Linked DNA regions of Caenorhabditis elegans. The protein of the gene in region 2 purifies or fractionates together with the protein of the main gene of each other region. This does not show direct contact. Each region holds a gene or a part of one and is shown on either strand. Other genes may lie near its edges.

Region 1 (4,837 bases), on a different chromosome or scaffold from region 2:
TTATTCGTTGATTTTCAGTGCATTTATGGTCAGTGGGGCGCAAAGTTGCATTTTTTTTTAAAGTTACATTTTGTGCTCCACTGACAATAAATGTACTAAAAATCAACGAATAAACGGCTAATAAAAAACCGTAATATTTATTAAAAAGTGATGAATAAATAAAAATTAAGTTCCAGACGCTGAGACACAGAGAAGTTGGCAAAAATTTGATTTTAGCTGAAAATGGGCCTTATTTTGCAGAACTTTGAACCGCCGTAACTTTTTTTGAGAAATTTTCAGAACGTCTCATTACGAAATTCGGTAGTTTTGGACCAATTTTGGGTCTAAAAAGCAAAGTCTCAAATTTCGGTGCTCCACCTTCAAAACATATATTTTCTGACTCTACTCCACCTTTAATATAAGATAGGAATGTATTCAAAGATTGCGTCTCCAGTCTCATTTTCCGCGTTTCCAGATCCTCCGAAGCATCATATTCCGCTGGCAGCGAGAGTTCATGCTTTCCCTCCGCAATTTTCGCTGCCAAATCAAAGGTATTCGGCACAAAGAGCTCCACAACTTGTCGCTTCTTATCCGCATCAAATCCATCTCGAATAACTGCAGAAGCAGCCGCAGCGACTCCATTCGTAACATCAGACTTTGCAAAAAGAACGAAAGGAATGATTTTCTTCAATCCTTTACTCGCAGATTTCTTTAACTTTGTCAAAAACTGAGAAATCACTTTCATCGTGAGCATTCTCACAGTTGGGCTTCCATCTGTGGTCAACTGGGCGACGAGTCCACAGAAATGCTCATAGGAGCTCTCGATCGAACTATTTTCCGTGTTTATCAGTTCCATAAGCTCTTTGAGCCCCTTTTCTCTCGTCTGACAGTCTTTTTTCGTCAATTTTTTCATGACAATCCGAGTTTCGTCGTCGATTTCCACTACTTGATGGAGTCGATTGCTGCTGGCCACCTGGAAAAAATTATAATGCAATTCAATTTTTTTTTCTGAAAATAACATTTATTTCCGCTGACACGTTCGGAAAAAAGCATTTTTTTTGCCATTTTTGAGCACGTTTCGGCGGAAAAAAAAAGCAAATTTTCATATTTTGGCACTAATTTTTAATGAAAAATGTTAGAAAAAAATCAGCCCCGCACAGAAAAAGAGGCGGGGCGTGATTTTGCAACTCTGCGGCACGGTTTTTCAACTTTTAAATAAAAATTTCGATTTCTACCTGTTTTATTCTCTTTTTTCGAATAAAAATATTATCCTATTTAATTCTGATATTACTTATCCATCTACAAAAAATCGTCATATCTTACGCGCAAGATATCCCGCGGGGAAGAAACGAAGTTACTGTATTCGTGTCGATTTACGGACCGCTCTGGCTGCATTTTTCGAACTTAATTTTTTTCAATTTCGATCAGCGATTTTTCATTTTCAAGCGTTTTATGTTAAAAATTCAATTATTTATTTGAAAAATCCATAAAAATGAGGAAAAAAACGAAAAGTATCTGAAAGTTGAAAATTACTGCTTTTTTAAATTTCGAGCAGCAATTTTCAAATTTCAGATATTTTTCGTTTTTTTTCTCATCTTTATGGATTTTTCAATTAAATAATTGAATTTTTAACATAAAAACGCTTGAAGATGAAAAATTGCTACTCGAAATTTAAAAAAAAATTAAATTCAAAAAATGATGCCAACCCGGCCCGTAAATCGACACAAATACAGTAATTTTGTCTCTTCCCTGCGGGATATCTTGCGCGTAAGATATGGCGACTTTTGCAGATGTATACGTAATATGAGGATTAAATTGGATAATATTTTTATTAGAAAAAAGAAAAGAAAAGAAAACAGGTAAAAATCGAAATTTTAATTTAAAAGTGGAAAACGTGCCGCAGGGTTGCAAAATTACGCTCCGCCTCTATTTCTGTGCGGCGCCTGCTTTTTTGATAGTTTTTTCTAACATTTTTTATCAAAAATCACTTGATTTTTCAGAAAATAACACTTATTTCCGCCGAAAAGTGCTCAAAAATGGCAAAAAAAATTTTTTGAGCATTTTTCAAAACTTTTCAGCGGAAATAAATGTTATTTTATGAAAAATCTTGGGAATTTTTTTAAATTTTTTTGATTTTCCAAATCAAAATAGCCTCTCACCTCGAAAATATTCATCTCAGGTGCCAATAAAACAAGTGAAATCGAAATTTTAATTTAAAAGTGGAAACCGTGCCGCAGGATTGCAAAATTACGCTCCGCCTCTTTTTCTGTGCGGCACTGCTCTTTTGATCGGTTTTTCTAACATTTTTCATTTAAAATTAGTGTCAAAATATGAAAATTTGCTTTATTTCCGGCGAAAAGTTTGAAAAAGTGCTAAAAAATGGCAAAAAATCTAATTTTTGAGTATTTTCCCAAACTTTTCAGCGGAAATAAAGGTTAAAAACAAAGGAAAAATATTGGGAATTTCATTACTTTTTTAATTAAAAAAATCAAAATGGACTTTTTTTAAAGCTTTTTTTAAAAATAATTTTTCATTAAAAATTACTTCATTTTTCTGAAAATAACATATATTTCTGCCGAAAAGTTTGAAAAACTGCTCAAAAATGGCAAAAAAAAAGTAGTTTTTGAGCATTTTCCCTAATTTTTCAGCGGAAATAAAGGTTTAATAAAGGAAAAATATTGGGAATTTTTTATTTTTTCACTTAAAAAAATCCAAATAGCCTCTCACCTCGAAAATATTCATCTCAGGCGTCAACCCGACAAACGTGGCTCCTCCTTGAGCCAAATACTCGTGAGCCGCCGCACTGCTCGCATTCTGAACAACTCGTTTCATCTTCATTTTAGCCAAGGAATGAAAAACTAACCTTTGCATTTCCTTTTCGCCGTTGCTGCTTACTCATTTTTTAGCCGTTCGAGAGAGACGCACAATATTATCCAGTATTTCCTAATAAAAATGGAAAAAATTGGGAGTTGTTCGGTGGAGCGCGTTTGCTTTTAAAGGTGGAGTGTAGTGTGTCTCTGTGAGCTTTTTAGATGGTAAATTGCAGGAAAATGGGTTTTCCTAAAATTGTAGAATTTATCTAAATTTTTTGAAATTATTTTTTCAATTTTTCAACAAATTTGACATTTTCCAGCTATTTTTTATTGGTTTTTTGCGTTTTTTTGTTTTATAATTCGAAATTTTGTTTTTTTTTTTTTTAACATTTTGTGTGAAAGAAATTCTAAAATTGGCTTAAAAATCGATAATTTCTCAACTTTTTTGCGGAAAAATGCCTGAAAATGTGACAAATCATGTTTCAAATTGGAATTTTTTTTTAATGAAAAAATTGCCATAGTCATATTTATTAATTTTTTTTCAATTTTGCACAGAAAAATCCATTTATTTTTGAATTCCCGCGCAAATTTCGGCATTTTTCAGATATTTTTATTGGTTTTTCTCACATTTTTACAGACATTTTTCTGTAAAATTCGATAATTTAACGTTATTTTTTGTAACTTTTTTACGGAAAAAATTCCTGAAAATGTGATAAATTATGTTTCAAATTACATATAATAAAAGAGGAAAATCAATTAAAATAACAGGAAAACGTCGAAACTAGGAAGAAAGCAGCAATTCAAAAAATGGGCTCTTTTCAGTTTTTTTTCCAATTTTCCAAAAAAATAAAATAAATGAATTTGGATCGAAATAGAACCAAAAAAAAGTAATTTTAAAAAACCAAAGAAAATAAAATCGAATAAGAAACAATTTCAGATATTTTTTTAAAAAAGGTGTGGGTATAAAACAAAACCGAATGACACAAAATTATAAATCACATTTAAAATAATTATATTTACTGGTTGCAATAAAAAAAAATAATCGTTTCTAATCGTCGCTTCCCCAGATACTTTGATCCGCATCACCCTCCTCGTCGTTCAGATCCTGAAATTTTTTCATTTTATTCGATTAAAAAAATTAATATAAAACTAACATCGTCACTATCATCACTTTTCCTGTCATCCTTTGATTTGGCTCTGTTCGGAGCAATAATACTGCTGTCGAGATCTGAAAATCGGTATTTTATAGAATTTCCACCCAAAAATGAGCGTAAAAATATTTAAAATTTTAGTTTTCCGATTTTTTTTTTTTTAAATCGCATTTTCAGCCATTTCTCATTCTTTCAAAAAAGTTTTTTGCTTCGTTTTGTGTGAAAGAAACCCTAAAATTGCCTTAAAAATCGATAATTTGACTTTTTTCAATTAAAATAGCCAGAAATTACCGAAACGATAATATTTGTTGCAAAAGTTTCACAATTATTTAAAATAAATTTTAGAAAGATTTTTTTCCAATTTCACAACAAAAAAAAGCCGATTTATTTTTGAATTCCCAAGCAAATTTCGATTTTCTAGCAATTTTAATGGGTTTTCATCATTTTTACACATTTTTCCGTAAAAATTGAAAATTACTTTAAATTTTTTTTCGGAAAAATTCCTGAAAATCTGATAAATTATGTTTCAAATGAAAATCAATATTTTGATGACCAATTCTTCGTTTTTCTCATCAAAATCAACATATTTTTGATAAATCTAGAGGCTTTTCTACTTTTTTCTAGATTTTTCGATTTTTAAAAAAAAAATACCTGACCAAGGGCATTTTTCGAGCTTTTCCGCAAAAAAAAAACGATATTATTTTCAGATTGAACAAATATTTTCTACCGTTTTATGCCAATTTTTGATTTAAAAAATTGGGTTTTCAGATTTTCTTGAAAATTACATAAAAATGTGGAAAAGTGTTCGTTTAATCTGAAAATAATATTTTTTTTAGATGAAAATAATATTTTTTTTAGTGTTTTTTAGTTTTTTTAGTGAAATACGTAGAATAC
Region 2 (5,927 bases):
TTTAGACACAACACTTTTAATCGTATATTATAAAAAATCACAAACTGGTTTAAAAAAAGTTGGTATAAACTAAGTACAGTATTCGGCAAAAGAAACTTTAGAATATTTCTAATTTGGAAAGAGTCTGGACAACTGTTTTAAAAAAATAACTGTCATAACTTGATCAATTGATTGGTTAAAAGAGTATCAGAAAGACAGTTGTCTAGAATTTTTCTACAATTTAAGTTTCTACTCTTTTGTGATTGACAACATTTTTGCATCTACAAATAATGTTGTGACACTCTTCGTCTTCTTCAACAAAGTTACAGTAATCAAATTTAAGGTCGAAGCCCAAAAAGAGTATATCAGCTGTAAGATAGCAGCCACTCAAGCAATTTCTGAAGCACAAGGAGCAAAAGTGAGTTCATTTTGTTTCATGTTTTGAGTAGATCAAGTATGAGATTCAGGGATCATCAACAGAAGCGTATTTGACTGAAATGTGTCGAGCGATGGATGGATATTTGAGATGTTCTCATCCAATTATTTTGGCAAAGTGTGGTTCCGATGCATGGACATTAGTTTCTACTGTATGTTTATCAAGGGCAAAATTGTTTTTTTAATTCTCAAAATTTGGCATTTCAAGATGTTTTTCTTTTTCTTAAAAAATTCTGATCTTTTTCGATCTAGTTAAGAAGAGTAATTTTTTCGAAAAACCAAGAAATTCCAAAAAGCGTTCCTACAACCATCATTAGTTTAAAAAAAAACATATTTTTGATCAGTTTGGCAGATTTCAAGTAATGATAAATGCACTGAATAAGTTTCAGATCTACTTTTTGCCAGATTAAAGTGCTCTAGGGCACGCCCCTAACGTTTTTGTTGGGTACTATTTGAAAATTGGTCATTTTCCAAATAAGATCAATAACTTTCCTTGTGCAAAAAATCCCGTATTATTGAAATATCAGCTAATTTCAGGTGACACGTGACAGTCTTGGTGTGACAATGCCCAATTGTGACATGCATTCTGCATTATTCTAATCTCTACAACGAGTAGTTCATTTTTTCTTCTCAACTTTCTGTATACTGGTTCTGGTTCACACACTTTTTCTGGCATTGCAATTTGTTTTTACTTACTTTAATTTATTTAAATCTTGTGAAATTTGAGGCGCAATAAATAAATATTCGTAATGTTAATTTGCAATATAATTCGTTGTTAACTCAAAAATACGGTACCCCGGTCTCGACACGACCCGAACCGACGCCTTTAACGAGTACAGTAGTAATCGACATTAAAAAAATTTAAAAAAAACTTTCGGTTACAAAAAAGCATTTATAATGGCAAAATAGTGAAGTAAGTCAGTGACATCAATAATTATTTTAAACTATTGTTTTTAACGCTGGCTTTTCTTCAAAAAGCTCAAATTCCCATATTTGTAATTTTAAACTACCGCCGTAAACTTGAATTGCGCAAGACACTGAATTGCGTCAGTGTCCGCCTTGGCGCATCCCTCGATTTTCATCGCATCGGCCGAACTCGAAGCGAGATGGGAGGAGGAGATTGCCGACGTGCAATTTATACTCTCTGTTTCACTTTTTTTCAATATTCCATAATTTTCTCAATGCGGCAGCGTAAACAACGTATTTCTCTTGATTGTCCCACTTTGTACTTTCTCGTTTTCATTTCAAAAATAGAAAAAAACAAATTAATTTTCAGATGCGCTTTTCGCGGAAGTTACTAGGCCCTTTCGTGGGTTCATTGGCCAAGAAACTCGATTATTATAGGTAATAATATTTGTTTCAGCTTTAAAAACCAGGAGATTATGAAAAGTATCGTTTTTAATATTGGAATCGATGGCCTTTGTTCTCTGCCCGGTCTGTTTGTTCCAGGGAAAACTAGTTTTTGTTTATTTTTAGCCGGCTAAGGCGTCGTTTTTTTTTTATTTTTCTGCACTGTTGAGTGAATTTTGATCTTGTTTCGATGAAAAATTCAATATAAAGTTATTTTTCAGTCAATTTCAACCTTCATCACTTACAATTCAACAATATTTGGATTTCGGTCGAATAGGAACATCAGCAAATTCATACACATTTTTGAAAAATGAGCTTCTCGTTCGTTTGGCGAATATTATGCAGGAATTCACACTTCTTCCACCAAAGCTTCTTCAAATGCCAAGTTCAAAAATGGTATCAAATTGGTATGCTGAGAGTTTCGAGGATCTTCTTTTGTTCGAGGCATCTGATTCATCTCCAGAGCAAGTTGCAAGGTAAGAGAAAAAATTGAATACCTAATTTACAAAAAAAAACTTGATTTTTTGGTTTTAAAAGTTTAGAAATACATTTTTAAAATATTAATGTTAATTTATGTTTTTCAGATTCAATGATCAGTTAACAGTCGTACTGAAAAGACACGCACATGTCGTCGAAACAATGGCTGAAGGATTGATTGAACTTCGAGAATCGGATGGAGTAGATATTGCAAGTGAAAAAGGAATTCAATATTTCTTGGATCGATTTTACATCAACAGAATTTCCATTCGTATGCTTCAAAATCAACATCTGGTAAGTTATTTTAAAAATTTTAATATTTTCAAATAAAACATTTTTTCCAGGTTGTATTCGGAAATGTTCTCCCAGAAAGTCCTCGTCATGTTGGATGTATTGATCCTGCCTGTGATGTGGAAAGTGTAGTGTACGATGCTTTTGAAAATGCTCGGTGAGTGCAAGTTGATGATAAAATTGCCTAGAAATTAAAGAAATAAGCCGATAAAAGTCCAAAGTTTCACCAGAAAATGTTCTAAAATTTTTTTTTTGAGATTGATGTTCAAGGCCCTCAGCAATACCTTCCATTTCTTCATTTTTTGCTTCTTTGCTAGAACTTCCGGCTCTTAATTCTTGCAGAAAATTGTGATAAATTAATTCTGAGTAAATTTTTCTCAAAAAATTTACGAAAAGTCAATAAATTTTAACAAAAATTTCCGTTGGACCGCTCTGGTCCTCATCAGGCCTTCTCAACTATACGAATGGCGTCTTTTGGGTTTTTGATAAGCTAGTTCTTCGCTGTCCGTCTGCGACGAAGATTGAATGTGCTGTGTCTCTGGGTGAGCACATAGTCGTCAGTTGTCATTTGAGCCTGAAAACATAGTTCATTCTCTCTACCACCACTGCCCATTCAACCTTTCTTCCGTGCAGGGAGTGTTCTTTGAGATGGAGAGGGATGACGTTTGATTTTTTAAAACGCGTGTGATTTCGGGCAAACCTGATCATTTCAAAGAACGAAAATATGAATTAGAGGGATAAGGAGGAAAATATGCAATTTTGATTTAGAAAATTTCCGTGGGAGTTTTATTCTGATCTTTTACAAAATTATCATAGAAAATTTGATTTGAGGGTTAAAAAAACACAAAAAAATTTTTAATGATTTTTTTCACTTTTGCAAAAATAAAGGAACGGCTGAAACTATTTCACCTGAAATTTAGCGACATGATTTTAATCGGAAAAACTTAAAAAAAAACAGAAAAAGCTAATATTTTCATATAATAATTTTTTGTTACAGATTTCTATGTGATCGATACTACTTGACAAGTCCATCAATGAAGCTTGAAATGCACAATGCCGTTGAAAAAGGAAAACCAATATCGATTGTCGCCGTACCAAGTCATCTCTATCACATGATGTTCGAACTGTTTAAGGTTAGCTATGAAGATACGAATTAAAAAAAAGACGACGCCTCTTCATCACTTCAATGTAACAAAGTGCCTTTTTGAACGCACACACTTCTTCCCCACGTGCTGTTGCAGTTTTGATACTAAAAAAACGATAGAAAAAGAGAGATAAGAGATGAAAATGATAAGAGAATTGGAAAAAGAGGAATTAAAAAAGGAAACGATTAAGTTGAAAGTAGAAAGAACAGAAAAATGTGTATGGAGGGGTTTTCAAATTCTCTTTTTTTTACAGAATGCAATGAGAGCGACAGTTGAATATCATGGAGTTGATGATGATCTTCCAGATATTAAAGTTTATGTAGTCAAAGGACAAGAGGATTTATCTATTAAGGTATTGAATTATTGATTGGTTTCGAAAATCAGTCGTATTTTATTTAAAATTACTGTACATTTTGGTGAGGTTCTGTGGATTTTTGCCCTAAATTACAGAAGACAGTCTCAATATACTGAGTATCATTTTTTTTAATTTAAAGAATTTTTTCTAAATTTTATGGAATTGTTTTACTTTTTAGAGATTGTAAAACATTTTTTAAACAATTTTTTAGAGTCTAAAAAATACTAAACTTTCTTTTAATTTTTTTGTCAAAAATTTTTTTTTTAAGTTACTGGAAAAATTCTAGCATATGTATATACAGTTATTGAAAAATTCGAATGTTTTATTTTAAAATAAAATTGGTTTTTTTTTGCAATTTTTGCCGCAGGTTTCAAATATTTTCTTTTACAGATTTGTGATCGTGGAGGAGGTGTATCCAGAACTATTCTCGAACGTCTCTACAACTACATGTACTCAACAGCTCCACCACCGCCACGTGATGGAACACAAGCTCCTTTGGTAAGTATTTTGAAAGTAAAAATAAACAAAAACAATGGACCAAAAATTTATATTTGTGAAAAACCAAAAAACAACAATAAAACCATTATAAATCACATTTTGTTTCAAAAAAAATTTCAAAGCCAATTTTTGATCAAGTTATAGAAGTTTTAAGAGTTTTTTTTTTGAAAAAAACCAGTATTTAAAAGTTTTCTAATTTTTCGAAAATAAGTTGAATTTTTAATAACTAGAGTCCAGATTCATACTGTATGGTTTATATTTTTAAAAATCGAGATTTTTAGGCTGGTTACGGATACGGACTGCCACTATCTCGACTATACGCTCGGTATTTCCTTGGTGACCTCTTTTTGGTTTCCATGGAAGGACATGGAACGGATGCATGTATCTACTTGAAAGCTGTACCAGTTGAGGCTAGTGAAGTACTCCCAATTTATAGTACTTCTTCGCGTCGAAATTTGACAATGGGACCACAAGTAGCTGATTGGTCGCATCATGTTCCTGGTCAAGGAAATCGTCCAGCTCAATCATGATCGTACTCGAGTTTTTTGTATTTATTGCTCTTTTTTTGTAAGTTGTGAATATATTCTAGCCATTCATTTTATTCGTCTTTTTACTTCTACTGTTCTCCGTTTCTGTCTATCCGGTGTCCATCAAATCCCGAGAATTCTGTTGTATATAAAACATTTCTAGCAAAATTATTTGTTTTCTTTCTGAAACTTCTTCTAGCTCTACTCTTTCTCGGACATTTTTTTTGTATATAATCGTTTGTAGGTGCGATGGGCTCTATTCTTCTTCTTTTTCTTCTCTCCCCGTATTTCACGAGTTCGTTGTGATTTGAAATCCCTCCCGAATTAGACTCACAACTTTGGAATAAATCATTCAAACTCATACATTTGAATTTGACAAGTTTGTGGAAAAAAGAAGAGAAGATTCTTCTTTCCATCTTTTTCTTCCATGACAAAACAATTTAATTTTCGCGCTGCGCACTCGGCGACGACTACTAGGATGAGAAGCTGACGATGTGCCATGGAAATCTTGGTGTTTTTGTGAGCGCCTTTTCACATTTGAATGCTTCCATGGAGTTCAATTGAGAACATAGATGTGCGGCACATTAAAAAATCTCCTTTTCTGGAAATTTATATAGAATTATCTGTACTTTTTGCTATCTTCAGAAAGTGCAAATATTTCTCTGTTTCTATACTTTTCTGTTTAGGCGCTTTCTTTGTTGTTTGAAATGTTTTTTTTTTAAATATTTTAAGCTACTATACGAGTTTTCAAATATTTTTTAAATAAAAATTATAACTTTTAAATTAATTGAAACTATTTCTTTGACGAAAAGTCCAGCTCTGAATTGATTCAAAAAACTTTAAAAAGCTACAAAAATGGCGCTGGCACAG

The links.
Region 1: the proteins of pdhk-2 (region 2) and Y54E10A.11 fractionate together in Caenorhabditis elegans (co-fractionation; one large-scale study listed by BioGRID). This does not show direct contact.

Annotation. Positions count from the first base shown.
Region 1 is NC_003279.8:3,189,819-3,194,655, forward strand, and holds the start of Y54E10A.11 (E3 ubiquitin-protein ligase listerin), read right to left. Parts: upstream 3,040-4,837; 5' UTR 2,879-3,039; coding exon 2,843-2,878; intron 2,794-2,842; coding exon 2,707-2,793; intron 953-2,706; coding exon 391-952; intron 1-390. Other genes in the region: syp-5 (PH domain-containing protein), read right to left, coding at 3,841-3,897, 3,947-4,020. UniProt on the Caenorhabditis elegans protein: E3 ubiquitin-protein ligase. Component of the ribosome quality control complex (RQC), a ribosome-associated complex that mediates ubiquitination and extraction of incompletely synthesized nascent chains for proteasomal degradation.
Region 2 is NC_003281.10:8,737,176-8,743,102, reverse strand, and holds pdhk-2 (putative [pyruvate dehydrogenase (acetyl-transferring)] kinase, mitochondrial), read left to right. Parts: upstream 1-1,690; coding exon 1,691-1,758; intron 1,759-1,985; coding exon 1,986-2,240; intron 2,241-2,348; coding exon 2,349-2,535; intron 2,536-2,585; coding exon 2,586-2,689; intron 2,690-3,529; coding exon 3,530-3,665; intron 3,666-3,930; coding exon 3,931-4,029; intron 4,030-4,422; coding exon 4,423-4,530; intron 4,531-4,811; coding exon 4,812-5,060; 3' UTR 5,061-5,417; downstream 5,418-5,927. Other genes in the region: nssp-33 (DUF19 domain-containing protein), read left to right, coding at 323-397, 447-566, 952-1,014. UniProt on the Caenorhabditis elegans protein: Inhibits the mitochondrial pyruvate dehydrogenase complex by phosphorylation of the E1 alpha subunit, thus contributing to the regulation of glucose metabolism. Required for normal lifespan.